2 linked regions of the Stegostoma tigrinum genome follow. The protein of the gene in region 1 purifies or fractionates together with the protein of each later gene. This does not show direct contact. Links are inferred from orthologs where the notes say so. Each region holds a gene or a part of one and is shown on either strand. Other genes may lie near its edges. The genes, in order: mitogen-activated protein kinase 4-like; FAST kinase domain-containing protein 5, mitochondrial.

Region 1 (16,480 bases):
CACTGTATGCCTTCTTAACAGCCCTGTCAACCTGGGTGGCAACTTGCAAGGATCTGTGTACATGGACACCGAGATCTCTCTGCTCATCTACACTACTAAGAATCTTACCATTAGCCCAGTACTTTGCATTCCGGTTACTCCTACCAAAGTGCATCACCTCACACTTTTCCACATTAAACTCCATTTGCCACTTCTCAGCCCAGCTTTGCAGTTTATCTATGTCTCTCTGCAACCTACAGCATCCTTCATCACTATCCACAACTGCACCGACCTTAGTGTCGTCTGCAAATTTACTAACCTATCCTTCTACCCCCTCATCCAGGTCATTTATAAAAATGACAAACAGCAGTGGACCCAACACCGACCCTTGTGGTACACCACTAGTAACTGTTCTCCAGGATGAACATTTCCCATCAACCACCACCCTCTGTCTTCTTTCAGAAAGCCAATTTCTGATCCAAACTGCTATATCTCCCACAATCCCATTCCTCCGCATTTTGTACAATAGCCTACTGTGGGGAACCTTATCGAATGCCTTGCTAAAATCCATGTATACCACATCAACTGGTTTACTCTCATCTACCTGTTTGGTCACCTTCTCAAAGAACTCAATGAGGTTTGTGAGGCACGACCTACTCTTCACAAAACTGTGCTGACTATCCCTAATCAATTTATTCTTTTCTAGATTATTACAAATCCTATCTCTTATAACCTTTTCCAACAGTTTACCAACAAGTGAAGTAAGGCTCACTGGTCTATAATTAGCAGAGTTGTCTCTACTCCCCTTCTTGAACAGGGGAACCACATTTGCTATCCTCCAGTCATCTGGCACTATTCCTATAGACAATGACGAGTTAAAGATCAATGCCAAAGGCTCGGCAATCTCCTCCCTGGCTTCTCAGAGGATCCTAGGATAAATCCCATCCGGCCCAGGGGACTTATCTATCTTCACACTCTGTAGGATTTCTAATACCTCTTCCTTGTGAATCTCAATCCCACCTCGTCTCGTAGCCTGTATCTCAGTATTCTCCTCGACAACATTGTCGTTTTCTAGAGTGAATACTGTCGAAAAATATTCACTTAGTGCTTCCCCTATCTCCTCTGACTCCACACACAACTTCCCACGACTATCCTTGATTGGGCCTAATCTTACTTTCGTCATTCTTTTATTCCTTAAATACCTATAGAAAACCTTTGGGTTTACCCTGGTCCTATCCGCCAACAACTTCTCATGTCTCCTCCTGGCTCTTCTAAGCTCTCTCTTTAGGTCTTTCCTGGCTACCTTGTAATCCTCAAGCACCCTAACTGAGCCTTCACATCTCTTCCTAACATAAGCCTTCTTCTTCCTCTTGACCAGAGATTCCACTTCCTTCGTAAACCATGGCTCCCGCACTCTACAGCTTTCTCCCTGCCTGACAGGTACATACTTTTCTAGGGCACACAGGAGCTTTTCCTTGAATAAGCTCCACATTTCTAATGTGCCCATCCCCTGCAGTTTCCTTCCCCTGCAGTTTCCTTCCCCATCCTATGCTCCCTAAATCTTGCCTAATCTCATCGTAATTGCCTTTCCCCCAGCTATAACTCTTGCCCAGTGGTATACACCTATCCCTTTCCATCAGTAAAGTAAACATAACAGAACTGTGATTGCTATCACCAAAGTGCTCACCTGGCCAGGCTCATTACCCAGTACCAAATCTAATGTGGCTTCACCCCTTGTTGGCCTGTCTACATACTGTGTCAGGAAGCCCTCCTGCACACACTGGACAAAAACTGACCCATCTATAGTACTCGAACTATAGTGCTCCCAGTCAATATTTGGAAAGTTGAAGTCCCCCATGACAACTACCCTGTCTCTCTCACTCCTATCAAGAATCATCTTTGCTATCCTTTCTTCTACATATCTGGAACTATTCGGAGGCCTATAGAAAACTCCCAACAGGGTGGCCTCTCCTTTCCTGTTTCTAACCTTAGCCCATACTACCTCAGTTGATGAGTCCCCAAATATCCTTTCTGCAACTGTAATACTGTCCTTGACCAACAATGCCACACCTCCGCCCCTTTTACCATCTTCTCTGTTCTTATTGAAACATCTAAATCCCGGAACCTGAAACAACCATTCCTGTCCCTGCTCTATCCATGTCTCCGAAATGTCCACAGCATCGAAGTCCCACGTACTAACCCATGCTGCAAGTTCACCCACCTTATTCCGCATGCTCCTGGTGTTGAAGTAGACATACTTCAAACCAACTTCTTGCCAGGTTTCATTCTGGCATCTGATTTGCCCAGTATTACAGTTAGCTGGGATCATAACAATATGAAAATGGGGGGATAAACACGACTGGGAGACAGACATTGTTGGCAATGACCTCTGCATGCTGACTGCCTGAATGGGGATTGGAAGTTGTGAGGCGAAACAGAAAAGCACAATTGGATGAGAACTGAACCAAGAGAAAACATAGGTTAGCAATCCTGCACCTTCTCAGCCCATGTATTCATCTGCTAAATGTGGCAAAGACTGCCACACCGGCATAAGGCTCCTAAGCTACAGGAGGTAATGCTTAACACAGAGGGAACTATCAAGTTACGAAGCATCATTCCATGAAACTGAAGACTGACAAAGAAAGAAATTACATTTTGAGGTGCTGATCTCGGTGCATTTCGTGAATGTGGAAAGGAGAGGTAGGGTCGATTCCCATAAATAGGGAAAATAAATCAGAAAGCAAGACAATCCTGAGGTAAACTTAACTGTATTACAACATTCCATTCAAACACCAGACTACCAGACACCTATCTATAATGAATATTTCTAGCCCCTGTTGGAGTACTGAATAATGCTTTAAGTGAAGGACTACAAAATTTGTCATTGATCAAAACAATCAGCAGAACAGAAGAATAACACTGCCACCATCCTCATCGAATCCAGTTTTAAAAATAATCTGACAAGTCTTTGGGTTGTAATTCACAAATCCCATATTACTGCTGATCCTAAATCAGATAATCAGCAATTTTCTTTGTTCCACATCACGTGACATGCCTTTTATTTTCAACGCCATGTCAGGAAAAGGATCACCCCACACTGGTATGGCATTCAATTACAATGACAGTGTGTCTCAGTGAATTTGAGGATGTAATTCAATCATTGTGTTGTGATGGTAAACACACTATTCAAGGCTCACTTATGGATTTTAACTCTTATGAATAGTTCAACTCATTTACTTTGTTGAAAAACACTGATCATCAGTCACTTTCTGGTAAATAACAGTTTATCATGAGATAAACTCAAAATAATTGGGTCACAGTCATTAAACCTTTTATATTTTGTGTTCATCATACTTAGGTTCATTCATGGAAGTTGAACGCTTCCTGTTTCAGACATCCACTGTCTGAATCAATTAAGATTCAGTTCAGCTGCTACACAGTTAGCTGTAGACTAAAGCTCCCTATGTGAAGCCTTGATAATATGTTTTAGCCCTAATCAATTGAGCACTCCCGCCACAGCAGGGTGATATTTTTCCATGTCCTAACCAGCAATTGTGAAATTCACAATTTAATTTCAATTAACGACAAATGAGAAGTTCTGAATTGTGGATTTGAACTCAAATTCCTCAGGCAAACCACAAAATGCCACTGCATCAACCTGCAGTCAATGATTATTTCTCAAGGTGAGGAGCTCATTTAGCCTCAACTTCAAGAACTTTCCGACCCCTCCAACAAAATATCAAAATACTGTTCTCAACAGGTCCACAACAAATTACACGAACAATTCAATCTAGAGTTCAGATGTGTGACTTTAAGATGGGGTAACCATCACTGAATCCCCCACTATCAACATCCGGGGGGGTTACCATTGACCAGAAACTCAGCTGAGGTCACCATACAACTACAGTGGCTACAACAGCAAGTCAGAAACTAGAAATACTGTAGCGCGTAACTCAGCTCCTGACTCCACAAAGCCTGTCCACCATCTACAGGGCACAAATCAGGAATGTGATCAACACTCCCCACTTGCCTGGATTAGTGCAGTTTCACTCAATGAGCTCAATACAATCCAGGACAAAGCGGCCCACTTGATTGGCACCATATGCACAAGCATCCACTCCCTCCACCACCGAAGCTCAGTAGCAGCAGTGTGTGCTATCTACAAGATGCACTGCAGAACTTCACCAAATATTCTTCGACAGCATCTTCCAAACTCACAACCACTTCTATCTAGAAGGACAAGGGCAGCAGATACATGGCAAAACCACCACCTGCAAGTTTCCTTCCAAGCCACTCACCACCAATCCTCGTTTGGAAATATACTGCCGTTTCTCACAGTCACTAGGTTACAATTCTGGAATTCCTTCCCTAACAGTATTATGGGTCTACAGCAGTTCAGGAAGGCAGCTCACCATCACCTTCTCCTGGGCACTTGGGGGCAGTCAACAAATTCTGACCCAGCTAGTAACACCCATCTATACCAGAGAACAACGAGAAGATAAAGATATTTGTCAATGATGTGGCAAATGCAGCTAAATTAAGTTGATTTCAGTTACCTATGTTACATAGTAAGACTGGTACTCTATCACATGTTGGCTAATTTTTATACAAAGAATAACAGGAACATGAGAACAATTACAAAGCAAAAACTAATGAGAAGTCATGGTATTCTTAAAAGCCACTTTAGTTAACAGGAAGTAACTTTCAGAATACAGTACTATAACACCTGCTTTGCAAGGCTAGAAAAGGTAAGTGCAAAAACTGGTGCTCCCTGTACATCAAATCATCTCGATCTTCCAACCATACCTGTTCGTGCTCAACGCACAGTGATAAAGAAACTAACTTTATTTGTTAAAAACCGAAAGAACTGCGGATGCTGTATACCAGGAACAAAAGTTGCTGGAAAAGCTCAACAGGTCTGGCAGCATCTGTGAAGAAAAAAATCAGCGTTAACGTTTCGGGTCCAGTGGCCCTCTGAACTTTATTTGTTCTTCGCTTCACCAAAAGAAAGCAAGACGCAGCGGGTCATTGGAAAGATATGGAGTTAATGTTTCAGATCGATGAGTTTTCATCAGATCGATGAGCTTTCATCAGACCCATTCGAGGTTCATTCTTATGGTTTTTGATTCGGTAGTCACTGTGTTAAGGCTATTTCTCTCTCCGCAGAGGCTGTCAGTCCTGCTTTTCAACATCCAGCGCCACTCTCTACTGTATATCTCACTGACAAGAACCTGCATTGAATTACACTGAGTACGCAGCACAGAAACACGTCATTTTGCCAAACCAGTCTATATCAGTATTTATGCTCCACTCGATCCACTTTACATCATTCCTCGTCCAACCCCAGCAGCAGAGCGGTCTTATTCGCTTCTCCGTCATGCGCATAATTCTTGAAAGTGTCCACAAATGCAAATTTCACATTCTCTAGGAAAGGAAGTTTCTTCTCAATTTCCTATTTGATGTCTCACTGTTGTGGGTATGATGAGCTAGTCAGCATCCCAGCGTCAGGGAATCACCTAACGTTCAGTGAACGTAACTATTACCTTTCAGGGCAAGCTCTCTCCACCTCAGTTATGTCCTAATGTCCTTCAGTAAATTCCTTCATTAAGCACCTGCTTCCAGCTCCACTGTCTCCAACCTTCAGTCTCCTCCCCCTTAAAAAACAGGCAATCTTCCCGTACAGAAGAATATATTGTGTTGTCATGCTCCATTGTTCTAGATCTATTTGTTCACACATACAAAGTTAGTTCATAACGTACCATCCTGTACGTTACACGGAGATGGCTAGGTGTTGCAGGTTAACAGCAGTTTGAGATCAGCACCAGAGTAGATGACCAATTATGAAATGGCAGTAACCATGTCCCCTCAGCTATAACCGTACCTGCGAAACTTGCCAGCAAATGCAGCCGATTTGTTGACGAAATGTACTAACTGCCCAGGCAAAAGACCCACATACAAACGCATACACAAAGACTGCGGAACTTACGGCACCTGCATCGATCTATCTTCCAGTTTGCGTGATACACTCAAAAGCCGAGCAATTCCGTACAGACACAGGTACCAACCGGAACATGTTCAGTAATTAAGCGAAGACAAAGACTTAAGTGTGGAGCAAAGACACGTTCCACTCCATCCCTCCCATTAAGCAGGAGCGATCCTGTCGTTTCCTTTCCTGCTTCTAATGCATCTGTATTTTTTTAGCAAAATTGCATTACACAGCATATTCTGCAACCAACACACAGCGTCGCTCCTTGTCAACTGAAAAGGCTCCGGGAACATGTCTTTGAAGAAAGAACACGGCGAGATGTTGGTAATTCATTCTCCAGCGTGTAACAGGAAATGAAACTTACCATTAAAACAACGCCGTCGCTGTGGCGGCGCTGGATCTGCTGTGGATTTGGCATTTGCCAGGGCAGGAGGCGGCTCGCTGCCGAGCTAGAGACCGAGACTGGGTTTGTTTCCGAGCGGGGATCTGCCCGGTCTCAGTCCCCTTTCTCTGCAGGGGAGAAAAATGAAGCCGGCCCGAAACAGCGCCACGGCACGACGTCACCAGGCGCTGTCAATCACACTGCAGCTACCTGGTGGTTCACCCAGGAGCGAGCAGGCTGCATTTGTCGCCGGCATTTCTTGCTCCTGAGAAAAAGAAGACAGGAACCACCTGATGTGCAAAGGTCTATAGCATGACATCCATCGACAGGCAGGAGCAGACATAGCTGCAAATAAACGTAAAGTACTGCAGATGCTGGAGACCTGAAATAAAAGCAGAAAGCGCTGGAAAATCTCAGCAGGTCTGCAACCAACTATGGAGAGTTACTTTCTCTGCTGATGCACAATATATGTTTTGCCGCACTGAGCCACGGGGGGAAATGCAACAAAAATTGAGCGGTAAAGCAAAACCCAGTTCACCCACTCCATACCTCCCTCGCATTCTTGTTAAGGCTCGTAGCCAATTCTATATTTTAAAAGTTTGTCCTCTCTGCTTCAATAATTTTGACACAAAATTTTACACTCAAACCACCCTCTGCACATTCTCCCTCTAAAGTATGCTATAATTCTTTCCCTAATTGTTTCAAATTTGTGCCCCCTCCTTATCAAGTATTTGAGGCAGATGGACCTAGAGAGGTACCAGCTGAAGTACCTGGTAAGAACTCTTCCAGCGCCATATTTCATATGGTTCTGATCAACAACTGCTGGCAATGGATAATTGCAGGCTTGTGGCAAGGTGCTAAATGGACCCTATGCAGTTCAGTGTGGGGAAGTAAACTAACAAAAGAAGTCTCTTGTCACGGTTCAATGAGGTTATTCAATCAGTAGGCGAAACCGTCCAGACCAGAAAAAACATATTTTTAAAAAGTGATCCATCTGGCCATATCTTTCCACAGGTTGTCCTAGAAGATCACAACAATTTCCTTCCTACAAGGGCTCAGAATTCATCCTAGATCTGCCTTCAATTAATTCACCTAAGCATGGACACTAGTAATGCATTTTCCACAAAGTGTAATGAGAAAAAATCAGAAAATCACATCAGTGAATAAATGAAAAAAACTGAGAGATATTACTTGTTTTTAATGTCGAGATAATAATGCTATAATGGTATTTATTCTGACTTTTATCCCGCCGAAACATCTGTCACTTTTACCTGTTACCCCAGATTCACTCGTTGGCTCCTGCAAATGGATTTAGGTCTGGAATGTCTCTTTTTCTATCCAGTTATCTAGTAAGGAAATGGCGTGACCAAAGAACCATCAGGGAGAACATTTCCTCCACCCAAACATGGCTGAAGTATACTTTAATTTTTGTTCTTTCATGGTCTCATCATATTTGAATGTGAGGAACAGATGTATCATTGCTTACATTCTCCTACGGAGGGCTGACTCAATAAGTATGGTATGGAAACTGAGGTTTCAGACTTTGAATAACTGGTTATCTATAAAAAGGACATGAACAAACAGTTTTCACAATATGAACATCAATTCCCTAGACTTCTCAGTGTATGAAAACAACAAAGATGTAACTTACTTTCTTTTTAGGCATGGATCCTATGACAGAAGACCATTTACTACAGCTTGATTCTTTGAAGCTAACCTTACTCAGACTTAAAAAATATTGACTGTCTTTTTCCAATAACTGTCAAATCCATAATCCATATACTTCAGCCTGAAAGACACTGCACATGCCTTGAGATAATGAGTCCAGTTTTGCCATACAATTAAGCTGACCATGTTAGAAGCATCCAGATTTGAACCTATCCTTAGAAGAATGCATAGACAATATACTTGTCATAATTTAATTAAACCAGAATACCTGTTTGTTAAGATTGAATGAAAATAATCTCTACTGATGACCTAAAATGCTTGTCAGTGAATGTGCTCATTCCAGTTAATTCCCACTTGGGGGTTTCTCATTGTTCACAGCTTCATAACTTGCACAAGCAAACGACATCAGTGCCAACACGACTAAGACCTTCGCTTTGAAAAGCCTTAATTTATACAAAATTAACCCATTACCCACTAGTTCTGGCTGTAGTCAAATATTAAAAAGTAAAAACAGCAGGTTATTGGGGCGGAGGGTGGGGTCGTTATGACACAGTGGTAGTGTCCTCGCCTCTGAGTCAGGAGGCCTAGGTCCAAGTCCCACCTGCTCCAGTGATATGTAATGACATCCTGGAAAATGTTTTTAAAATATTTTAAATTAAAAACAGAGGAAAAGTCCATTTAGCTACAATGTCAAAATACTACTTTCAGAAAGAGATTTCGGAAAAACATAGGCAGTTTACACCACTTTGCTGGGTTTTCTGGTAAAGTAATGACACATGATTAAAGATGCCCTTTGGAAATTCAAGCCCCTAATTTACATTGCAAAGCAATAAGGCCATTTTGGAACATCTGGCCTAGTTCAAGAGTTCATGTAGTTCAGTATGTATATCTGTAATGCCTGAAAAAGAGACATAGACTGACATTTTCTTCTTACATATGATTAGCATGCAGTTGAAATGAATATTTGGTGGCTAGTATTTATGTGATTTTGAGGTTATAAAACTATAGTCTTCCTTCATTTGAACTTCAGTGGAATGGAAAGTTGTGAGGTGTATAATAGGTAATCAACTTCCGACTTCTGATGAAGTCTAATTTTACCTTGCATGTGTCTCCGCTAGTTTTTTTGACATGATAAATTGGTGAAGAAGGGTCTTGTGGTATAGTGATAGTGTCCTTACTCCTGAGCCAGGAGGCTTGGGTTCCTATACCTTCTTTTAATTCATTCATGGGATGAGAGCATTGCTGGTAGATTTTGTCCAGAAGGCAGTCAGGAGCCAGCCACTAGGCATGGATCTGTGGTCACAGGTAAAGACAGCAGTAACTTCACTCAACAGCACTAGTGAAGCAGATGGGGTTATCTGGCAATCAACAACAGTTCCATTGTCATCATTAGACTCTTAATTTCAGATTTGTATTGATTCAAATTCCACCATCTGCCAGGCCAGATTTGAAACCATGTCCTCAGACAATTACCTGGGTCTCAGGATTCATAGTCTAGCAATAATAACAGGAGGCCATTTCCTCTACGCATAGACAAGGTCTGATCAAATTTGGGCCACAAGCACTTTTAAAAAATCATTACGTTTTTGATTATCAGGGAAGACCACTATTGAAAAGCACTATTGAAATGTGGAGATTGTTGAAGGAATGCATACTGCATATGCTCGATATGTTTGTCCCTAGCAAGGAGGGAAGATGCGGTCGAGTGAGGGAGCCTTGGTTCTCAAGGGAGGTCGAACATCTGGTTAAGAGGAAGAAGGATGCTTATGTAAGGTTGAGGAAACAAGGAACAGAAAATGCTGTAGAGGGATACAAGTTATCCAGGATGGAGTTGGAGAAGGGCCTTAGGAGACCTATAAGGGGGAATGAGAAAACCTTGGCAGACAGGATCAAAGAAAACTCCAATACTTTTTACATGTGCATGAGGAGTAAGAGAATGACCAGAGAAAGGGTAGGGCTGACCAAGGATTGTAAAGGGAATTTGTGCACAAAGCCAAAAGTGATAGGAGAGGTCCTTAATGAATAGTTCTCATCGGCATTCACAACTGAGAGGGACCTAGTTGTAGAGGAGGACAGTGTGAAACAGGCTGGTAGGCTAGAGGAGGTCACTGTTAATAAGGAAGATGTACTAGGAATTTTGAGGAACTTGAAGATAGATAAGTCCCCTGGGCCTGATGGAACTTATCCAAGGATTCTACGGGAAGGGACAGAAGAAATTGCAGGGCCTTTAGCGATGATCTTTTCGTCCTCACTGTCCATGGGTATAGTGCTGGAAGACTGGAGAGAGGCAAACATCATTCCTTTGTCCAAAAAAGGGAATAAGGATAACCCTGGAAATTACAGGCCCGTAACTCTTATATCAGTGGTGGGAAAATTATTGGAAACGGCTCTGAGAGATAGGATTTATGATCACTTTAAAGGCACAGTTTGATTCGTGATAGTCAGCAAGGATTTGAGAGGGGTAGATCATGTCTCACAAACCTCGTTGAATTCTTTGAAGAGGTGACCAAACATGTGGATGAAAGTAGAGCAGTAAATGTGGTATACATGGATTTAAGTAAGGCTTTTGATAAAGCTCCCCATTTTAGGCTCATGCAGAAGGTAAGGAGCCATGGGATCGGGGGAAATGTGGTAGATTGGATTCAGAATTGGCTGACCCTTAGAAGACAAAGGGTGGTAGTGGACGGAAAATATTCAACATGATGCTCAGTTACGAGTGGCGTACCTCAAGGATCTGTACTGGGTCCTCTTCTATTTGTGATTTTTGTAAATTATTTGCATGAAGGAGTGGAAGAGTGGATTAGTAAGTTCACGGGCAGTACGGAGGTGGGTCAGGTTGTGAACAGTGCAGAGGGCAGTTCTAGGTTTCAAAGGGACATTGATAGGATGCAGAGCTGGGCTGAGAAGTGGCAGAAGGGGTTTAACCCTGGAAAGTGTGAAGTGATTCATTTTGGATGGAAAAAATTGAAAGCAGAATACAGGGCCAATGGAAAGATTCTTGGCAGTGTGGAGGAGCAGAGGGATCTTGGGGTTCATGTCCACAGTTCCCTGAAAGCTGTCACCCAGGTGGATAGAGTTGTTAAGAAGGCATACGGTGTGTTAGCTTTCATTATTAGAGGGATTGAGTTCAAGAGCCATGATGTTATGCTCCAGCTATACAAAAGCCTGGTTCAGCCACATCTGGAGTGTTGTGTCCAGTTCTGGTCGCCTCATTACAGGAAAGATGTGGAAGCATTGGAAAAGGTGCAGAGGAGATTTACCAGCATGTTGCCTGGAATGGAGGGAAGGTCTTACAAGGAAAGGTTGAGAGCACTAGGGATTTTCTCTATAGAACGATGAAGGATGAGAGATGACTTGACAGAGGTGTACAAAATGATCAGACGTATAGATAGAGTAGACAGTCAGAGACTTTTCCCTAAGGTGAAGGAAGCTTTTATGAGGGGGCATAGTTTTAAAGTGAGTGAAGGTAGATATAGGGGAGATATCAGAGGTAGATTCTTTACTCAGGGAATGGTAGGGACGTGGAATGCCTTGCCGGAACAGTTAGTGGAGTCAGCCTCATTTGGGACATTTAAGCGGCTATTAGATAGGCATATGGATGATAGTATAAGGTAGGGGTGGAGGTTAGATAGACCATAAGATTAGGGTAAACGCTTGGTACAACATCATGGGCCAAAGGGTCTGTACTGTGCTGAGCTGTTCTGTGTTCTATGATTCTGCTGCATGACACCAAGCAGCCCCATAGTAAAGCACAAGTTCGGTTCTGTCCCACTGCCAAAATTGTATATCTTTGGTGACATATTCAAATACCTTTTCAAGGACAGCTGGTTAGGCTACATGCAGACTTGGTTATCCTAAAATCAGTAGGTCCAGCATTGCCCAGCTGCTTCTTATCCTTGACAGAAGCTGTAGTCCTAATACATGTGCCTGCTCTGCTCCCATATCCTTACATTCTACTTTTTATCAACTATCTGCCTAGTTTTTTGATTTGACTTGATTTATTATTGTCAGATGTACTCAGATATAGTGAAAAGTATTGCTTTGTGTGTTATCCAGACAAATCATACCTTACATAAATGCTAGCTAGATGGATAAAAAAACTGGCTGGGCAACAGGAGACAGAGGATAGTATAGAAGGGAGTTTCTCAAATTGGAGACCTGTGACCAGTGGTGTTCCACGGGGATCTGTGCTGGAACCACTGTTGTTTGTGATATATGTAAATGATCTGGAGGAAGGTGTAAGTGGTCTGATCAGCAAGTTTGCTGATGACACTAAGATTGGTGGAGTAGCTGATAGTGAAGGGGACTGTCAGAGATTACAGCAGAATATAGATAGACTGGAGAGTTGGGCAGATAAATGGCAGATGGAGTTCAATCCGGGCAAATGCGAGGTGATGCATTTTGGAAGATCAAATTCAAGGGCGAACTATACAGTAAATAGAAAAGTCCTAGGGAAAATTGATGAACAGAGAGATCTGGGTGTTCAGGTCCATTGTTCGCTGAAGATGACAACGCAGGTCAATGAAGTGGTCAAAAAGGCATATGGCTTGCTTTCCTTCATTGGGCAGGGTATTGAGTACAAGAGTTGACAGGGCATGTTGTAGTTGTATAGGACTTTGTTTCGGCCACATTTGGAGTATTGTGTGCAGTTCTGGTCGCCATATTACCAAAAGGATGTGGATGCTTTGGAGAGGGTGCAGAGGAGGTTCACCAGGATGTTGCCTGGTATGGAGGGTGCTAACTATGAAGAGAGGTTGAGTAGCTTAGGATTATTTTCATTAGAAGGATCGAGATTGAGGGGGGGACCTGATTGAGGTCTACAAAATCCTGAGGGGTATAGACAGGGTGGATAGCAAAAAGCTTTTTCCCAGAGCGGGGAACTCAATTACTAGGGGTCATGAGTTCAAAGTGAGAGGAGTAAAGTTTAAGGGAGATATGCGTGGAAAGTTCTTTACACAGAGGGTGGTGGGTGCCTGGAACGCGTTGCCAGCAGAGGTGGTAGACACAGACACGTTAGCGTCATTTAAGATATATTTGGACAGGTACATGGATGGACAGGGAGCAAATGGACACAGACCGTTAGAAAATAGATGACAGGTTAGACAGAGGATCTTGATCAGCACAGACTTGGAGGGCCGAAGGGCCTGTTCCTGTGCTGTAGGTTTCTATGTTTCAATGGTTTCTATGTATCAGGGTAATAGAACAGATTGCAGAACATAGTGTTACAGCTAGAGAGAAGGATGCAGAGAAAGATCAACTTTAACATATGAGATGTTTGTCCATAAGTCTGACAACAGCGGGGGAAAAGCTGTTCTTATATCTGTTGGTACATGTTTTCAAACTTTTGTATGTTCTGCTCAATGGAAGACGGTGGAAGAGAGTATAGCTGGGGTGGGAAGGGTCTTTGATTTTGTCGGCTGCTTTCCCGAGGCAGTGGAAAGTGTAGACAGAGTCAATGGGAGAAAGGCTGGTTTTTGTGGTAGACTGGGCTGTGTTTACAACTTTTTATAATTTCTCACAGTCTTATGGATAGGATGCTTTCTATGGTGCATTAATAGAAATTGGTCAGAGTCATTGTGAACATGCTGAATGCCCTTAACCTTCTGAGGAAGTAGAGGCATCGGTGTTCTTTCTTTACTGTAGCATTGACGTGAATGACCAGGATAGGTTGTTGGTGATATTTACTCCAAGGAAATTGAAGCTCTTGACCATATCCACTTCAGTAACATTGGTACAGGCATAATAAATAAGTATAGATTTAGTCTTCACGTCAATCATTGCTTCTTTCTTCCATGTTCACCATGCTACACTGTGCAACAATACCTCCTGATTCAAAGTCAGCAGTCATAGCATTTTCCTACGGTTGGAATTGAAGTAGCAATTATCACTGCAAGATTCTTGAGACAAGATTTTAAGAAAACCACAGCTTGCATTGTTGACTTGGATAAGCTATACTTACAGCAGTGTGCAATGCACTGAGCTTTAGTCAATATAAAAGCAATATTGATGGTAATATACACAAATTCCATGTGGTGCATTATTAAAGAGGTAAGCAAAATGTTAACAATGCTTGCTGTCTTGCTGAAAATGAAATCAAATCTTAATAAACCAAAAAGTCCTGTTAGTTATTTCTAATTTCTCTGTGTATAGTTGTTGTAGGTGATGTTTGTAACTGGTTCTTCTAGGATCTCCTTTGAATAAATATGCGGCAGTCAATTCTTATTGCATTACTCACTATGGGCCATCCTTCCCCAGTTGGCTGCAGAAGCATTAACGTAAGTAGTAAGAAGTCATTTATTGCTTACCAATGAAGATAACAGATTATATTAGTTTAAATAAAATCAAAAATTGCTGGAGAGACTCAACAGGTCTGGCAGCATCTGTGGAGATAGAAACAGAATTAATGTTTTGAGTTCAATGAACTTTGCTTTCTGTTATTAAAGAATCAACCCTCATTTTTCTAGGTTCACAGATGAGAGCAGTGTGCATGCTGTTGGCTCACTATCACCTACTAAAAGACACTTAGAGATGGGAAATGACACTTTTCTTGCCACAACGCACATTCTGAGGAATAAATAAAAGAAACAAGAAGACAGTCACAAGCAAAGTATGTCAGGCTGCTAACACCAGCAGAAATCCAAATATCATACCTTTAAACTCTGGGAAATTTAAAAGAGCAAATTAAATTTAAGTGCCTCATAATTTGTCATGCCAGATGAGTTATATATTTACCAAGAAGAATTTACGTATTACATTTTGTTGTTTCCTTTCTTAATTTGTTCATGGGCTGTGGCAACATGGTCCAACAGTTAGAGTCCAAGGGTAGGCAGTGAACGGTCATTGTCATGTGTGTGGAGTCTCATGTAGGACAGACCGGGTAAGGATGACTGATTTCCTTTCCTAAAGGGAAATGGTAAACTAGATAGGTTTTTACAACAACCAACAGTGGGGTGGTTAGTCTAATCTTTTCATTCCAGATCTTTATTGATTTCAAGTTACACTATTTGCAATGCTAGGATTTGCACCTTTGCCCCATAATATTAGAGGTGCTGGATTACTAGACCGGTGATATTATTATTCTATCATCACCTCCCCTAAAGGGATTAATAGGAGAGTTAATGCCTGAATAGTTTTGTTGCTGGACTAATAATACAAAGGCCCAAGAAACATTTTGGAGACGCAAGTTTAAATGTCAAGTTGGATTTGAATTTAATAAAATTCTGAAAGTTGAAGTCTAATGATGACTGTTGTCAATTGTAAAAACCCATTGGCTTCACTAATATCTTTTAGGAAGGAAACTGATTTTCTCACTTGATCCAACCTACATGTGACTCCAGACCCATAGCAATGTGTTTGACTCCTATTAGGGATTGGTAATAAGTGCTGGCCAGTTAATAGTGCCCACATCCCATGAGTGGATAAAGAAAAATGTTGTCAAGGGAAGTCCTGCTTAAATTAACCCTGATGTGTTCTGATTTGGGTATTTTCCTACCAGGTTACAAGCATCTGCTATTTCTGCATGTTTTGCTTTTGAAATCGTGGTTCCCCATTATCTATGGTCAGCCAATTTACTCCTCACAAGAACTAGCAATGAAGTCTAGACATTGGCCCTGATAGGACACAAATTCTGAATTCCTATTCACTGGATAATCAAGTCATTGAGTCATATAGCACAGAAGAGGCCCTTCAGCCCATCCATACATCTCCGGCCTATCTACACTAATCCCACATTTCAGCACTTGGCCCTGGTCTTGGATGTTTTGAGATTTCAAGTGCTCATCTACATATTTCTTAAAAATTGTGAAGATTCCTGCCTCCCAGGCTATCAATCTATCTAAATAATGTAGCCAATAATATAACATACAAACATAGGAGCAAGGAGCAAGTGTAGGCCACTCAATGAATCAAGCCTGCTCTGCAATTCAGTAAGCTGAATGACTGATCTGATTCTAACCTCAACCCTACATTCCTGCATATCCCTTATAATCTTCCATCCCGTTAGTAATCAAGAATCTAAACAATTCTGCCTGAAATGTGTTTAAAGATTCTGCAGGAACGGAATTCCAAATAAAAACATACAATTTAAGAGAGTTATTTTTCCATCATCTCTGTCTTAAATGGGTAATTCCTCATTTTCAAACTATAACCCCTAGTTCTCGGCTGTCTCATAAGAGGAAACATTCTTTCCACAGCCACCAGGTCAAGTCCTCTCAGGGTCTTATATGTTTCAATTAAGTCACTTCCGACTCTTCTGAACGCCAGAGGGCTCAGGCCTAGCCTGTCTAGCATTTCCTCATTAGGCAATCGCTTATTGTAGGTATTAGCTTAGCAAACCTTCTTGACCTGCTTCCAACATATTAACATACTTACACACGGTGGCCAGTATCATACACTGTACTCCATGCACAGTCTCACCAATGCCTTCAAACTTCCCTCCTCTTGCATTCAATTCCCTTTGCAATAAA
Region 2 (16,722 bases), about 12 Mb from region 1:
TACAGTCTGAGGCAGAACCAGAAAGAGGAAAAAGAGCTTTCAAAATAAATACAAATCAACAATGTCCTTCTTTGCAGCTTTGCACTTTTTCTTTATGACTGCTGGGTTGCCCTGTTTTAGAACACTTACATTTAATAATGATTAGAAAACTGAGAAAACTGCAGATGTTGGAAATCAGAAACGCAAACAGAAACTGCTGGAAAAACCCAGCAGGGCTGATAGTATCTGTGGAGAAAAAAAATCACAGTTAACACTTCAGATCCAGAGAACATTCTGAGCCAGAAATGGTTCAGGTCTTGTATTTCTGGACAGCCCTCAGATCATCCTTGATGGGAGATGGATGTCTGAAGGGATTGCACACCCATGGTAAAGAGGAAATAACTGAAACCCGGAAAGTGGAAATTCTGAAACTGATGTACAGTATCAGAGGATTTGTGGATGTAAGTGGGAAGGGACTGTACAAGGGAAGAAAAAAAAACAAGGCGAGGCAGGAAGAGGTGAGTACTATAGGACAGGAACAGGCAGAAACAATAGGTCTGCTGGTCAGTCCTGTTTGAGGATTTTGGGGCGGAGGTAGAAGCTAGCTGTGCAGGTTTGGGAGACTGCTGTGTGTTTGTGTGTGTTGGGGGTGGGGGGCACCAGATAACATGAAGCTAGTGATTGTAGTGGACACAATGGCCTGATGTTCCATACTGGGCTCATGGCCCAGGGAGGATAGGATGAGGTACCTCAGAGCAGGACCTCAGCCTCTGCAACGTAGAGGTCAGTCTGCCAAACAACACATCATCACCCTTATCAAAAGGCTTAATTACAAAGGTAGGGTTGGATCTGAGAGCTTGGATGGCAGTCAGTTCACAGGGAGATAGGTTGGAATGGGTGAAGGGGGTAGAGAAATTGAAGCGACCAATGTCATGTTGATCGTTCCTGTGAACAGGTCGAGTGCAGGTAAATAGCTGGAAGGAGGAGTCCGGGTGGAAGAACAGTGTTGAAGGTGGGCAAAGGGGTCTGTGGGATGGGGAAAGGACTCTTGTCCAAAGAAATGGGCTTGGAGGCGAAGGTGAGGGAAGATGAGTTCTACATCACATCATGCCTGAAATTCATTAAGGTGGGGACCCAAAGGGATAAAACTGAGCAAACAATAATGATTGTTGCAGTCTGAATCTGGTCAGAAGTGTCCACATGGCATTAGCTTCCTTCCACTTGAAAGTAGAGATATTTGGGTTTGGGGATGTAATGCTTCTTAACAACTACTTACCAATGTCCATTAGAACCTGTATTCATATAGTATTTTTTACATTGCTCCAGAGCATTTTTCAGCCATTTATGTGCTTTTGAAATGCAGCCACTATTGTAATGGAAGAAATGCAGCAGAAACCATGACACAGCAAGCTCCAACAAACAAGTGTTGCAGTTACTAAACACTCTTTTTCCAGTGATACAAATTGGGAGATCTTTTACATCCACCCAAAAAACCACACAGCCTCCAGTTTAAAATCTCACCCACAAAATGGACATTATAGCACAACTTTAATACTGCATTGGAGCATCAGGTGGGGCTTCAGATTCAAGTCTCTGAAATTACTTAGAGATCAGAATCTTCTTCTCACATGCAGAACTTTACAAGATGATTAATAGTTGATACTCCTTTACAAAGGAAAGATGGTGCAGGACGGTGGGTATAAGACTCCTAGAACACTGGTATCAAACTGGGGGCAGTTTGGGGCTTTTATAAGTCAGAAAATAGCATCTCAAAAGAGCTAGGACCAGTATAGTTTTACTTGTACTTTTGGCAACTATTTAAACTACTTAGTTCAATCAATCAGATCAATTTCTCAGGGGGATGAGAACCACAGTGTAGGAGAAAGGAGAAACAAGGTGTGTAAAGGATTTTCAGAGACGTGTAGTACTAGATTAAGAAATAGCAAGGTAGTCAGAAGTGTTAGAGTTAGTAGAAATAAGGCCTAAATTATATAGACAGTTTTTCTTTATTCATTCGTGGGATACGAGCATCACTGATAAGGCCAGCATTTACAGCCCATCCGTATTGCATTTGAGGTGGTGTCAATGAAGTGCTGTGGCCTGATCAGAAGATTCTGTCCGTTAAAGCTCCCAAGCCTGCTTCCCAGAGGGCTCTGGTGCAGCGGTAGTGTCCCTAACCCTGAATCATAGGGTCTGGGTTCAAGTCCCACCTGCTCCATTGGCACATCATAATATCTGAACAAGTTAATTTTTTTTCAAAGTTTCATTCCATAATGTTGTGAAGCATTAAAGGAAATTAGGTATGTATCTTGGACTACAAAATATTGACTGTAATTCTGGTTATTCGTAGTCTTACTATGGATGAGAGCTTCAACTGAGCAATATCAGACCTGTCATCTATTGTACACCTCGGCTGATATTTACTTCCATTTAAATCAATATTACTGTCACTTCTGAAGGGTCTCTGGATCCGAAACGTTAACTCTCTTTTCTCTCCACAGTCAAAACTGCTGAGCTTCTCCTGCAAGTCCAGTCTTTATTACTGTCACTGCGTCAGCTCTTTGAAATCACTAAAGTCCCTGTTGCCACATTTCTAGCTGTCCTGATAATCTCTTTTCGGTAATTATCACTTGTTTGTGACTGACGCTGTCCTTTATTTCATAGTTCTGCCTGGTGCCCCTATTTTCATTGCAGCTACAGCTTCAATAGCCTCATGGCTTATCTAGCTCTGGGTTCTTCTCAGAATCAGTGCTAGCTGGTAGTGCTATGATATGACTATGCTATCCATGCTGCACAATAATTTAAATGAGACTGTACTCATGTATCCATGGTGCCTTACATGACCTCAGGGCAACTCAAAAGTATTGACAGCCAATGATAAGCTTTTAAAGTGGAACCGCTTTGAACATATTCAATGATGAATTCACAATTCACTGATAAAGAATTCCTAAGATTGACAACCCTTTCAGTGAAGATTTTTTCCTCATCTCAGTATCAAATGATTAGTTCCTTAGCCTAAAACTGCATCCCCATATTCTAGATTCCAGAGTCAGGGCAAGAACCCCACCTTTGTAAATTTGAGAATATAGGGCTAATATCTAAGGTTTTGGAGTAGATCTGTAGCTCAGGTTGTGGGTGTTGAGGTTGGAGGCTCCACGAAGCAGGCTATTAATAAACACATTGAACTCGACCCCACATACATTCCACTATGGAGGAAACCCGGAAGTGAGGCAGTCCATCGCAACGGACACCAGAGTTTAAAAACCAGGTGGGAGAACACGCTGACGCTTCATCAGAAGTTGCACTGAGGATGCTACCCAGCACAGGAACAAAACGTCTGCCGAATAACAGACCAGTTCGGTGAGCCAACCAACCTCAATAGGCCTAATATACTCAACATTTCCTCATTGCTCAACCCTGTCATCCTTAGATCTTGAGTTCAAAACTGCACACAACACACAGATAACAAAGTGTGGAGCTGGATGAACACAGCAGGCCAAGCAGCATCTCAGCAGCACAAAAGCTGACGTTTCGGGCCTAGACCCTTCACAATGCACAGGTGTGGTGTCACTTTGTGTAGTACCGTACAGTTTTGGCAAGACTTCCCTTGGGATTTGCCTTCCTAATTGCTTGTTGTAACTACATGCTGACTCTCTGCAGTCACTGTACAAGTACACACAAGTTCCTTTGGACATCAACATTTAGAAATTTTGTGCTTTAAAAGAGTTCTGCTTTTCTAGTCTTTCGTCCAAAGTAAACAATCACACACTTCCCTACATTATACACTATCTGCCTCCATTTTGTACATTCACTGAATCTGCTGATGTCTCTTCAATTCCTTATCATTTACATTCTGCTGGCTTGATTCCAATCAAAACCTTCCATTCATTTTGCCCACTCAGCTCTCTCTTTTTCTTTGAACTTGCTTAAAAACTGTAATAACTTAGCGCTGTTGAAAGTTTATTGATGAGATTATCATCTCCCATCAAGGTGCGAATCAGACTGCAGATTGCTGAATTTAATACTGAACAATATTCCTCTGCCTTTCTGACCCTGCACCATTTCTGTATGGCCATTTCTTAGGTTGAGAATACCTTAGGTGTAAAAATCCACAAGCAACTCTCTGAGCTTGAGACTCCTATTGTAAGGACCACATGGAAGATGTATGGTGATTGGTAGAAGGATTAGAGGGAACCTTACGAAAAGCTTTTTCAATCAGACAGTTTTGGAATTCCATGCCTGGGTTGGTGGCTGGGGAAGAAACCCGCAATAGACTGGGATTATACTCATTGGAACTCAGAAGAATGAGGGGAGATCTTATAGAAATGTATAAGATTATGAAGGGAATAGATAAGGTGGAGGCAGGGAGGTTGTTTCCACGAGCAGGTAAAACTAGGACTAGAGAGCATCGCCTCAAAATAAAGGGAAGCAGATGTAGGACTGAGGTCAGGAGGAACTTCTTCACCCAAAGGGTTGTGAATCTGTGGAATTGCCTGCCCAGTGAAGCGGTTGAAGCTACCTCGCTGATGTTTTTAAGGCAAGGCCAGATAAATTTTTAAACAGTAAAGGAATTAAGGCTGATGGTGAGTGGGCGGGTAAGTGGAGCCGAGTCTCAAAAAGATCAGCCACGATCTTATTAAATGGCGGGGCAGACTCGAGGGGCCAGATGGCCTACTCCTGCTCCTAGTTCTTATCTTGTGTTAAATTATCTAAGAGGAACATTGATCTGCATGCAAAGCTGGTTAGATCACATGGAATAAAGGGAGAACTAGCCATTTGGATAAGAACTAGCTCAAAGGTAGATGACAGAGGGTGGTGAAGGAGGGTTGTTTTTCAGATTGAAGGCCTGCGACCAGCGATGTCCACAAGAATCAGTGCTCGGCCCACTCCTCTTCATTATTTATATAAATGATTTGGGTGTGAGCACTGGAGGTATGGTTAGTAAGTTCGCAGATGTCACCAAAATTGGCAGTGTTGTGGACAGCGAAGAAGATTCCCTCAGAGTACGACAGGAGCTTAATCAGATGGGCCAATAGGCTGAGGAGTGGCAGATGGGAGTATAACTCAGATAAATGTGAGGTGCTGCATTTTGGTAAGATAAATCAGGGCAGGACTTATATATTTATTGTGAAGGTCCTGGGGAGTGTTGCTGAACAAAGAGACCTTGAAGTGCGGGTTCATAGTTCTTTGAAAGGAGAATCTCAGGTAGATAGTATCGTGAAGAAGGTGTTTGGTAGGCTTGCTTTTATTGATCAGTGCATTGATTAAAGGACGTCATGTTGGAGCTGTACAGGACATGGGTTAGGACACTTTTGGAATTCTGCTTGAAATTCTGGTTTCCCTGCTACAGGAAGGACGCTGTGAAACTTGACAGGGTTCTGAAAAGTTCTGCAAGAATTTTACCAGGGGTGGAGCGTTTGAGCTACAGAGAGTGGCTGAGTAGACTAGGGCTATTTTACCTGTAGTGTTGGAGGCTGAGAGGTGACCTTTTCGAGGTTTATAAAATCATGATGGGCATGGATAAGGTGAATAGCCAAGATCTTTTCTCGAGATGGCAGAGTCCAAAACTAGAGGACATAGGTTTAAGGTGAAAGGGGAAAGATTTAAAAGGGACCAACGGGGCAACGTTTTCAAGCAGAAGGTGGTGCATGTATTCAATGAGCTGCCAGAGGAAGGGGTGGAGACTGGTACAATTACAAAATTTAAAAGGTATCTGGATGGCCACATGAATAGGAAGAGTTTAGAGGAATATAGGCCAAATGCAGGCAAGTAGGACTAGATTAATTTAGGATATCTGGTCCACATCGACGAGTTGGACCAAAAGGTCTGTTTCCTTGCTGTACATCTCTATTTGCTGTAATAAATAGACTGAACATTATATTTATGTTAAAAAGCAAAACATACAGTTATTGTTGAAAGAACAAAAGACATTTTTCCTCATCTCCTTTTCCCTTTCCCATCCTTGAAATTGGTATTTGGATCGCTCAGCGATTTTGTAGGCGCTCTCTTTGACCTGAGATAATGGGAACTGCAAAGCCTCTTCCAGGGATGCCTAACCTGAAGAAGTTACCCTCCTCCCTCCGGACCAACCTCAGGGAATCTCGCTCCCACTGCACATCCATGATCTCATCACCTCAGGTGACCTCCCACCCAAAGCCTCCAACCTCATTGTTCCCCAACACCCACCACCCGTTTCTATCTCCTTCCCAAAATCCACAAACCCACCTGCCCTGGTCGACCCATTGTCTCCGCCTGCTCCTGCTCCACTGAAGTCGTCTCCACCTATCTGGACTCCATTTTCTCCCCCTTGGTCCAGGAACTCCCTACCTATATCCATGACACTACCCACACCCTCCACCTCCTCCAAAACTTCCAATTCCCCTATCCCCAACACCTCATTTTCACCATGGACGTCCAGTCCCTATGCACCTGTATTCCGCATGCAGATGGCCTTAAGGCCTTCCGCTTCTTCCTGTCCAGCAGGCCAGACCAGTCCTCCTCCACCGACACCCTCATCCGCCTAGTCGAACACTCAACAACTTCTCTTTCAATTCCTCCCACTTCCTACAGACAAAGGGGTGGCCATGGGAACGCGCATGGGCCCAAGCTATGCCTGCCTCTGTGTAGGTTACGTGGAACAGTCCCTCTGCCGCACCTACATTGGCCCCAAACCCCATCTCTTCCTCCGTTACGTTGATGACTGTATCGGCGCCGCCTCTTGCTCCCAAGAGGAGCTCGAACAGTTCATCCACTTCAACACCTTCCACCCCAACCTCAAGTTCACCTGGGCCATCTCCAACACATCCCTCACCTTCCTGGACCTCTCAGTCTCCATCTCAGGCAACCAGATGGAAACTGATGAAGGGTCTAGGCCCGAAACGTCTGCTTTTGTGCTCCTGAGATGCTGCTTGGCCTGCTGTGTTCATCCAGCTTCACACTTTGTTATCTTAAGATGGAAACGGATGTCCACTTCAAGCCCGACTCCCACAGCTACCTAGAATACACCTCCTCCCACCCCGTCCCCTGCAAAAATTCCATACCCTATTCCCAATTCCTTCGCCTCCGCCGCATCTGCTCCCAGAATGAGGCATTCCACTCCCGTACATCCCAGATGTCCACGTTCTTCAAGGACTGCAACTTTCCCCCCGCAGTGGTCCAGAATGCCCTTGACAGTGTCTCCCGCATTTCCCGCAACACCTCCCTCACACCCCACCCCCGCCACAACCGCCCTAAAAGAATACCCCCTCGTCCTCACATACCACCCCACCAACCTCCTGTACAACGCGTCATCCTCTGACACTTCCGCCATCTACAATCCGACCCCACCACCCAAGACATTTTTCCATCCCCACCCGTCCTCCTTCCGGAGAGACCACTCTCTCCATGAGTCCCTTGTCCGCTCCACACTCCCCTCCAACCCCACCACACCTGGCACCTTCCCCTGCAACCGCAGGAAGTGCTACACTTGCCCCCACACCTCCTCTCTCACCCCCATCCCAGGCCCCAAGATGACTTTCCATATTAAGCACATGTTTACCTGCACATCTGCCAATGTGGTATACTGTATCCGCTGTGGCTTCCTCTATATTGGGGAAACCAAGCGGAGGCTTGGGGACCCCTTTGCAGAACACCTCCGCTCGGTTCGCAATAAACAACTGCACCTCCCAGTCGCAAACCATTTCCACTCCCCCTCCTATTCTTTAGATGACATGTCCATCATGGGCCTCCTGCAGTGCCACAATGATGCCATCTGAGGGTTGCAGAAACAGCAACTCACATTCCACTTGGGAACCCTGCAGCCCAATGATATCAATGTGGATAATAAAATGTGAGGCTGGATGAACACAGCAGGCCAAGCAGCATCTCAGGAGCACAAAAGCTGACGTTTCGGGCCTAGACCCTTCATCAGAGAGGGGGATGGGGAGAGGGAACTGGAATAAATAGGGAGAGAGGGGGAGGCGGACCGAAGATGGAGAGTAAAGAAGATAGGTGGAGAGGGTGTAGGTGGGGAGGTAGGGAGGGAATAGGTCAGTCCAGGGAAGACGGACAGGTCAAGGAGGTGGGATGAGGTTAGTAGGTAGCTGGGGGTGCGGCTTGGGGTGGGAGGAAGGGATGGGTGAGAGGAAGAACCGGTTAGGGAGGCAGAGACAGGTTGGACTGGTTTTGGGATGCAGTGGGTGGGGGGGAAGAGCTGGGCTGGTTGTGTGGTGCAGTGGGGGGAGGGGACGAATTGGGCTGGTTTAGGGATGCAGTAGGGGAAGGGGAGATTTTGAAACTGGTGAAGTCCACATTGACACCATCAGGCTGCAGGGTTCCCAAGCAGAATATGAGTTGCTGTTCCTGCAACCTTCGGGTGGCATCATTGTGGCACTGCAGGAGGCCCACTGCACCACACAACCAGCCCAGCTCTTCCCCCCCCACCCACTGCATCCCAAAACCAGTCCAACCTGTCTCTGCCTCCCTAACCGGTTCTTCCTCTCACCCATCCCTTCCTCCCACCCCAAGCCGCACCCCCAGCTACCTACTAACCTCATCCCACCTCCTTGACCTGTCCGTCTTCCCTGGACTGACCTATCCCCTCCCTACCTCCCCACCTACACCCTCTCCACCTATCTTCTTTACTCTCCATCTTCGGTCCGCCTCCCCCTCTCTCCCTATTTATTCCAGTTCCCTCCCCCCATCCCCCTCTCTGATGAAGGGTCTAGGCCCGAAACGTCAGCTTTTGTGCTCCTGAGATGCTGCTTGGCCTGCTGTGTTCATCCAGCCTCACATTTTATTATCCACATTGATATGAGTTGCTGTTCCTGCAACCTTCGGGTGGCATCATTGTGGCAGTTCCTGCACTGCCACAATGATGCCACCCGAAGGTTGCAGGAACAGCAACTCATATTCCGCCTGGGAACCCTGCAGCCATATGGTATCAATGTGGACTTCACCAGTTTCAAAATCTCCCCTTCCCCTACTGCATCCCTAAACAAGCCCAGTGCATCCCCTCCCCCCACTGCACCACACAACCAGCCCAGCTCTTCCCCCCCCCCACCCACTGCATCCCAAAACCAGTCCAACCTGTCTCTGCCTCCCTAACCGGTTCTTCCTCTCACCCATCCCTTCCTCCCACCCCAAGCCGCACCCCCAGCTACCTACTAACCTCATCCCACCTCCTTGACCTGTCCGTCTTCCCTGGACTGACCTATCCCCTCCCTACCTCCCCACCTACACCCTCTCCACCTATCTTCTTTACTCTCCATCTTCGGTCCGCCTCCCCCTCTCTCCCTATTTATTCCAGTTCCCTCCCCCCATCCCCCTCTCTGATGAAGGGTCTAGGCCCGAAACGTCAGCTTTTGTGCTCCTGAGATGCTGCTTGGCCTGCTGTGTTCATCCAGCCTCACATTTTATTATCTTGGAATCTCCAGCATCTGCAGTTCCCATTATCTCTGATATCAATGTGGACTTCACCAGCTTCAAAATCTCCCCTTCCCCCACCGCATCCCAAAACCAGCCCAGTTCATCCCCTCCCCCCACTGCACCACACAACCAGCCCAGCTCTTCCCCCCCACCCACTGCATCCCAAAACCAGTCCAACCTGTCTCTGCCTCCCCAACCGGTTCTTCCTCTCACCCATCCCTTCCTCCCACCCCAAGCCGCACTCCCAGCTACCTACTAACCTCATCCCACCTCCTTGACCTGTCCGTCTTCCCTGGACTGACCTATCCCCTCCCTACCTCCCCACCTACACTCTCTCCACCTATCTTCTTTACTCTCCATCTTCGGTCCGCCTCCCCCTCTCTCCCTATTTATTCCAGTTCCCTCTCCCCATCCCCCTCTCTGATGAAGGGTCTAGGCCCGAAACGTCAGCTTTTGTGCTCCTGAGACGCTGCTGGGCCTGCTGTGTTCATCCAGCCTCACGTTTTGTTATCTTTGACCTTGCGGCTCTTCCATTTGCCACATCCAGCCCTGGACATAGAGTGGGGCCCTTCAACGGGAGCTCAAGACAGGAGGAGCGGTCAGAGCCTCTCAAGGATGAGGGCCGAGAAGGCTGTATTAACCGAGTATGGATCCGGCCGGTGGATCCCGATCACTTGGTGCCCGCATCAGGATCTCTTCAGCAGAAAACGGCACCGAAAACGGAGATAGGAGCTCTGCGCATGTCCCACTGTGGCAGCCGTGCGCATGTGTAGAAGGTATTGTCGGATTGAGGCGTCCGCGCGCATGTGCGGAAAGCGCTGTCTGATTGGCCCAGTTGTGCGCATGTGCGGGAGGCGCAGGCTAATTGGATAGCCATGCATTTGCGCAGCGGGTGTAGTCTGCTCTGAGTATGGAGGGAGGCCTAGTGCAGTCATTAATAGGTGTGCTGGCCGACGTCTCCAGTTAATTACTCCAGAGCCGCACAGAATTCTCTCCCTGAAATATTTAACCATTTTGTTTTGCTTTCACCCATATTTTTTCAACTCATGATCATCCCTAGTCCTGCCTCGTCCACAACGCCAGGGGTATTGGCAGCAAACTCTCCTGATTAAGCCACCGCCTTGAAGGAGGTGGAGCCAGCCTTTCTGTTCCTAATCACCTGGCTGGATATTTAGGGGAAGGTAAGAACTGTATGACACACAGCATATTTGAATAGTGTATGAGTGACTAGCTGGTCAGATATCCAGTTCACCCAGAAACGTGCGGTTATACGGTATGTGGGTGATATGGATCAAGACAGAATTTGTGAATAATTCCAAGTTTCTGTTGAAAAGCTGTTGATGGAAATTGACAGCCACGTTCTTATGACAAGAGAGTTGCAGTGGGAGAGAGATTCCCTGAGATTGGTCCCAAGGGAGGAGGGTAACCTCTTCAGGTTAGTCATCCCTGGAAGAGGCTTCTCAGCTCAGGGAATCTGTCCCACTGCAACTCTCTTGTCCTACCTACTAACCTCATCCCACCTCCTTGACCTGTCCGTCCTCCCTGGACTGACCTGTCCCCTCACTACCTCCCCACCCATACTCTCCTCTCCACCTATCTTCTCCTCTATCTATCTTCGGTCCGCCTCCCCCCTTTCCCTATTTATTTCAGAATCCTCTCCCCATCCCCCTCTCTGATGAAGGGTCTAGGCCCGAAATATCAGCTTTTGTGCTCCTGAGATGCTGCCTGGCCTGCTGTGTTCATCCAGCTTCACACTTTGTTATCTTGCCTTCCTAACTGCTTGCTGCACCTGCCGTTCTGCTTTCATTGACTGATGTACAAGGGTGCCCAGATCTCTCTACATTCTCGCACTTCCCAATGTAGTATCATTTAATAATACGCTTAGTTTCTGTTTTACACATATGAGCATACAACTTCAAATTTAGCCACTGTGCTATATCTGCCTTATGTTTGCAGATCATGGAAACCTTACAGTATGGAAGCTGGCCATTCAGCCCATTGAATCCAAACCAACCCTCCAAAGAGCATCACATGCAAAGCTACCACTGCCCTAGTCCTGAACTCCTGCATTTCCCATGGCTGATCCACTTAGCATGCACATTCCTGTATGCTATAGGCAATTTAGCATGGCCAGTCCACCTAACGTGCACATCTTTGGTCTGTCGGAAGAAACTGGAGCACTGGCAGGAAACCCCCACAGACACAGGGAGAATGTGCAAACTGTACCGCAATTGGTGTACCGCAAGGTACTTGTTGGTGTTGGGTCCACTGCTGTTTGTCATTTTTATAAATGACCTGGATGAGGGTGTAGAAGGGTGTTAGTAAATTTGCAGACGACACTAAGGTCGGTGGAGTTGTGGATAGTGACGAAGGATGCTGTAGGTTGCAGAGAGACATAGATAAGCTGCAGAGCTGGGCTGAGAGGTGGCAAATGGAGTTTAATGCAGACAAGTGTGAGGTGATGCACCTCGGTAGGAGTAACCGGAAGGCGAAGTACTCGGCTAATGGTAAGATTCTTAGTAGTGTAGATGAGCAGAGAGATCTCGGTGTCCGTGTACACAGATACTTGAAAGTTGCCACCCAGGTTGACAGGGCTGTTAAGAAGGCATACAGTGTTTTAGCTTTTATTAATAGAGGGATCGAGTTCCGGAACCAAGAGGTTATGGTGAAGCTGTACAAAACTCTGGTGCAGCCGCACTTGGAGTATTGTGTACAGTTCTGGTCACCGCATTATAAGAAGGATGTGGAAGCTTTGGAAAGGGTGCAGAGGAGATTTACTAGGATGTTGCCTGGTATGGAGGGAAGGTCTTACGAGGAAAGGCTGAGGGACTTGAGGCTGTTTTCATTAGAGAGAAGAAGGTTGAGAGGTGACTTAATTGAAACATATAAAATAATCAGAGGGTTAGATAGGATGGATAGGGAGATCCTTTTTCCTAGGATGGTGACGGTGAACATGAGGGGGCATAGCTTTAAATTGAGGGGTGAAAGATATAGGACAGATGTCAGAGGTAGTTTCTTTACTCAGAGTAGTAAGGGAATGGAACGCTTTGCCTGCAACGGTAGTAGATTCGCCAACTTTAGGTACATTTAAGTCGTCATTGGATAAGCATATGGACGTACATGGAATAGTGTAGGTTAGATGGGCTTGAGATCGGTATGACACGTCGGCACAACATCGAGGGCTGAAGGGCCTTTTCTGTGCTGTAATGTTCTATGTAAATAGAACATAGAACATAGAACATAGAACAGTACAGCACAGAACAGGCGGAAGGTGGAATCTAACCTGGGTCCCTGGCTCTGTGAGGCAGCAGTGCTAACTCTGAGCCACCCACCCAATTTTTCCATGTCATCTTGAACATTCCTTGCATCTTCCTCACAAGCTTCAATCCTCCCAGTTTAGTGCCGTCAACAAACTTGAAAATATTGCATTTGATTCTGTCATCCAGGCCATTTATACATATTGTGAATAGCTGGGGTCTAAGCACTGATTCTTGTAGTATCCCACTCCTTGCCACTTGAGAATAGAACCATTTATTCCCACTCTGTTTCCTGTCTGTTAATGTATTAACCCCATCCCATGTTCTTTTTTGAAAGAAACAAAGAATGTAGATGCTGGAAAACAGAAACAAAATCAGAAATTGCTGGAAAAACCAAGCAGATCTGACAATATCTGTGGAGAGACTCTTCTTCAAAACTGGACCAAAACTTCATTGGACCCGAAACATCATTTTCTGCTTTCTTTCCACGTATCGGTTAGATCTGGGTTTTTCCAAGAATTTCTGATTTTTTTCCACGTTCTTTAATTTTGCTCACTAACTTGATTTGAACGGCCTTATCCAAAGCAATATGAAAATTCAAATACACCACATCCACTGATTTCTCCCTTATCTATTCTACTAGTTACATTCTCAAAAGCTCTGGTGGATTTGTTAAGAAAGATTTGCCCTTCATAAATCTTGCTGACTTTGGTCAATCCCGTTAGTCTTTTTAAATGTTCTGTTTTCATTTAGACTAACATTAGACTAACTGATCTTTTATTCTTTTTGTCCCCCCTCCTTTTTTAAATAATGGAGTTAAATTTGCCATCTTCCAAACTGTAGGAACTGATCCAGAGTTTATAGAATTTTGGAAGATCACCTCTAATACATCTAGTATTTCCTGGGTCACTTCCTTCAGTATTTTGGGATGTTGATTATGATGCCTTCAATGATTTGTCAGTCTTTAACCCCATTAATTTCCAAACACCATCTTCTCCCTAGTACTGATTTCCTTCAATTCCTCCTCCTCCTCACTGGATCCTTTGTCCCTAATATTTCTTGGAGGTTATTTGTGTCCTCTTCTGTGATGATAGAACCCAAGCACTGTATTTCTTCAATTCCACCATTTCTTTGTTTCCCCGTTATGATATCCTTGGCTTCTGACTGTAACGGAGCTATATTAGTTTTTTACTTCATATTTATAGAAACGCCTAGGGTCAGTTTCCATGTTCCCTGCAGTTTTACTTTCAAACTTCATCTTTTTCCCCCCATCATGATTGAACCTTTCACTGAATTCTGAAATGCTCCCAATCCTTAGGCTTGCTTTTGTATTTTTGCAAATTTTATGTCTCAACTCAGATCTAATAAAATAATAAGTAAGCTGTGGTTGAGCCACCTTTCTTCTGTTATTTTTGTGCCAGACAGAAATGAATATTTGTTATATTTCATACACACCTTCAAATATGAACCATTGCCTGTGTACCATCAACCTTGTCAGTAAGTTTCCTCAATCCATCTTTACTAATGCACATCTGCTACAGTAATCGTTCCTGAATCTGCATAAAAGGATGCTAGTTTCTGATTTGATAACTTTACTTGCCATCTTAATGAAGAATTCTACCTTATGATGGTTGTTCTTCCCCAAGGGACCCTGCATAATGTAATTTATTTGTTTTACAGTACCCAGTCTAGAATAACATGTTCTCTGGTTCCTCAATGATTTTCAGACCAATACATTCATGTATATACTCCAGGAAATCTTTGTCCACAATATCAATCAATACATAAATTAAAGTCATCCATGATTATATGATAGTGATTTATTGTTTACTTAAAATGCCGCCTCACCACCTTTACCTTCAGACTGTCTTCTCCTCAATTTGAATACCCTTCAATTTTCATTTCCCATCCTTCGTGTCCTGGAGCCATGGCTCTGTAGTTGCACCTATATCATAACTGCTTGTATGTATTCGTAATGCTTATTCCTCAACTTTTTGGTGAATTCTGTGTGCGTTAAGGCATCAAGGCTTTAGACTTGTCTTTTTAACCCTGTTTGTCTCCTTTCTAGTTTCTAACTACATATCTACTCTCTTATTAAAAAAAACTCCCAACATTGTGAGTTTACCCTTCCTATTCCTGGCTCCACCCATAATGCCTCACTGTAAAATCCCTCCGATGTGTCCTCCCTCAACGCAGCTATGATGTGATCCCTAATCAGCAATGCAACTCCCCCACCCCTTCTGTTTCCCTTTCAGTCCCATCTAAAACAGCAATATCCTGGAATGTTAAGCTGCCAGTCCTGCCCCTGCTTTAACTGTTTCTCTGAAATGGCGATGACATCACAATTCCATGCAGTAATCCATGCTCTTAGTTCATCCGTATTACCTGTCATACGTTTTGCCTTGAAGTAAATGCACTCCAGACCTCCAGTCCCTCTGAGCCCCACAACTTCCTGCTCTTACTCTGTGATACATATCTCAGTCTCTTCTTTGTCCGGAGTCCCTGCACTTACTAGCCTGTTGTTCCAGCTCCCACACCCCTGCCACACCAGTTTTAAACCCTCCTGAACATCTCTAGCAAATCTCCCACCCAGGATATTGGTACTAGCATTTAGTTGAGACTGAACCATGCTTGAAGTTCAGAGGTACTTTGGTGGACAGGTTGATTCTTTGAAATTGGAAATTTGTCACTGCTCTGAGAATGGTCAAATATACACTTTTTTCCATTGACTCTCCAGTGATACTAAATGAAGATTCAAATCTGAAAAGAAGGTTCAGAACTTTTAAAGTTTACCTGATGATCGAAGGATTTTCTCCCTATTTGTATTTACCAAGCCAAATGATAAATTCTGAGATCAACCTATTTTCAGAAAAACAATGTGAATGTCAAGCAAGAACCTGCCATAATACCCTTGTTGAACAAAATCCGTCACTGTGTGTCTTGAAAATTACAATTGCCCCAGCATCCAGATGCATTGCAATACTTTTCAAAATTATGATGTTTTGGATGTGAGTTTGCTCGCTGAGCTGGAAGGTTAGTTTTCAGACGTTTCGTCACCATTCTAGGTAACATCATCAGTGAGCCTCCGACGGAGCGCTGGTGCTATGTCCCGCTTTCTATTTATCTGGGTTGGTGATGTCATTTCCTGTTCTTTTTTCTCAGGGGATGGTAGAGCCAATCTACCCCTGAGAAAAAGAACAGGAAATGACATCACCAATGCAGGAAATGACATCACCAACCCAAGGAAACCTAACCAGATAAACAGAAAGCGGGACATAACACCAGCGCTGCTTCGGAGGCTCACTGATGATGTTACCTAGAATGGTGACGAAACGTCTGGAAACTAACCTTCCAGCTCAGCGAGCAAACTCACATCCAGAACCTGAACCTGAGCTACAAATCTTCTCAAAACTCGTTATTAAGTTTTGCCAGTCATCCAGCAGGGTGGTAGAAATGGTCACGTCGCTGGTCCAGCAACCCTGAACCCCAGCCAAATATTCTTGATGACCTGGGTTTGATTACCACCATAGCAGATGGTGATTCTGATTTCAATAAAAATTGAAATCAAAACTTAGCCGAATGGTAACCATTTAACCACTGTTGATTGTCATAAAAACAGCCCTTTAGGAAGGGAAATCTGCCGTTCATGGCCTGACTACATAAATCCCCAGATCCATGGCAATTTTAAATTCACTTATGGGACATGGCATTGCTGGCTGGCCAGCATTTATTGTCTGTCCTTATTTGCCTTTTGGAAGGTGCTGGTGAGCTGCCTTCTTGAACTGCTGCAGTCTGTATTCTGTAGATAGACCCACAATGACCTTAGGGAGGGAATTCCAGGATTTTGACTCAACAGTTAAGGACAAGATGTATTTCCAAGTCAGGATGCTGAGTGGCTTGGAGAAGAAATTGCAGGTGACAGTGTATCTATGTATCTGCTGCCCTTCTCCTAGAAGGAAGTGGTTGAGAATTTGGAAGGAGCAGCCTATGGATCGATGATGAATTTCTGCAGTGCATCTTGTAGATAATGCACACTACTGTTACTGAGCACCGGTGGTGGAAGGAGTGGATGCTTGTGGAC

The links.
Region 2: the proteins of mitogen-activated protein kinase 4-like (region 1) and FAST kinase domain-containing protein 5, mitochondrial purify together in Homo sapiens (affinity purification with mass spectrometry; 3 studies listed by BioGRID and IntAct, with this or other methods). This does not show direct contact. The link is inferred for Stegostoma tigrinum from reciprocal best matches to the Homo sapiens genes MAPK4 and FASTKD5.

What each region holds. Positions count from the first base shown.
Region 1 is NC_081354.1:158,281,631-158,298,110, forward strand, and holds the start of mitogen-activated protein kinase 4-like, read right to left. Parts: upstream 6,603-16,480; 5' UTR 5,971-6,602; exon of another isoform or gene 5,523-5,970; intron 1-5,522. UniProt on the Homo sapiens protein: Atypical MAPK protein. Phosphorylates microtubule-associated protein 2 (MAP2) and MAPKAPK5.
Region 2 is NC_081354.1:169,862,190-169,878,911, forward strand, and holds the start of FAST kinase domain-containing protein 5, mitochondrial, read left to right. Parts: upstream 1-10,448; 5' UTR 10,449-10,565; intron 10,566-16,722. UniProt on the Homo sapiens protein: Plays an important role in the processing of non-canonical mitochondrial mRNA precursors.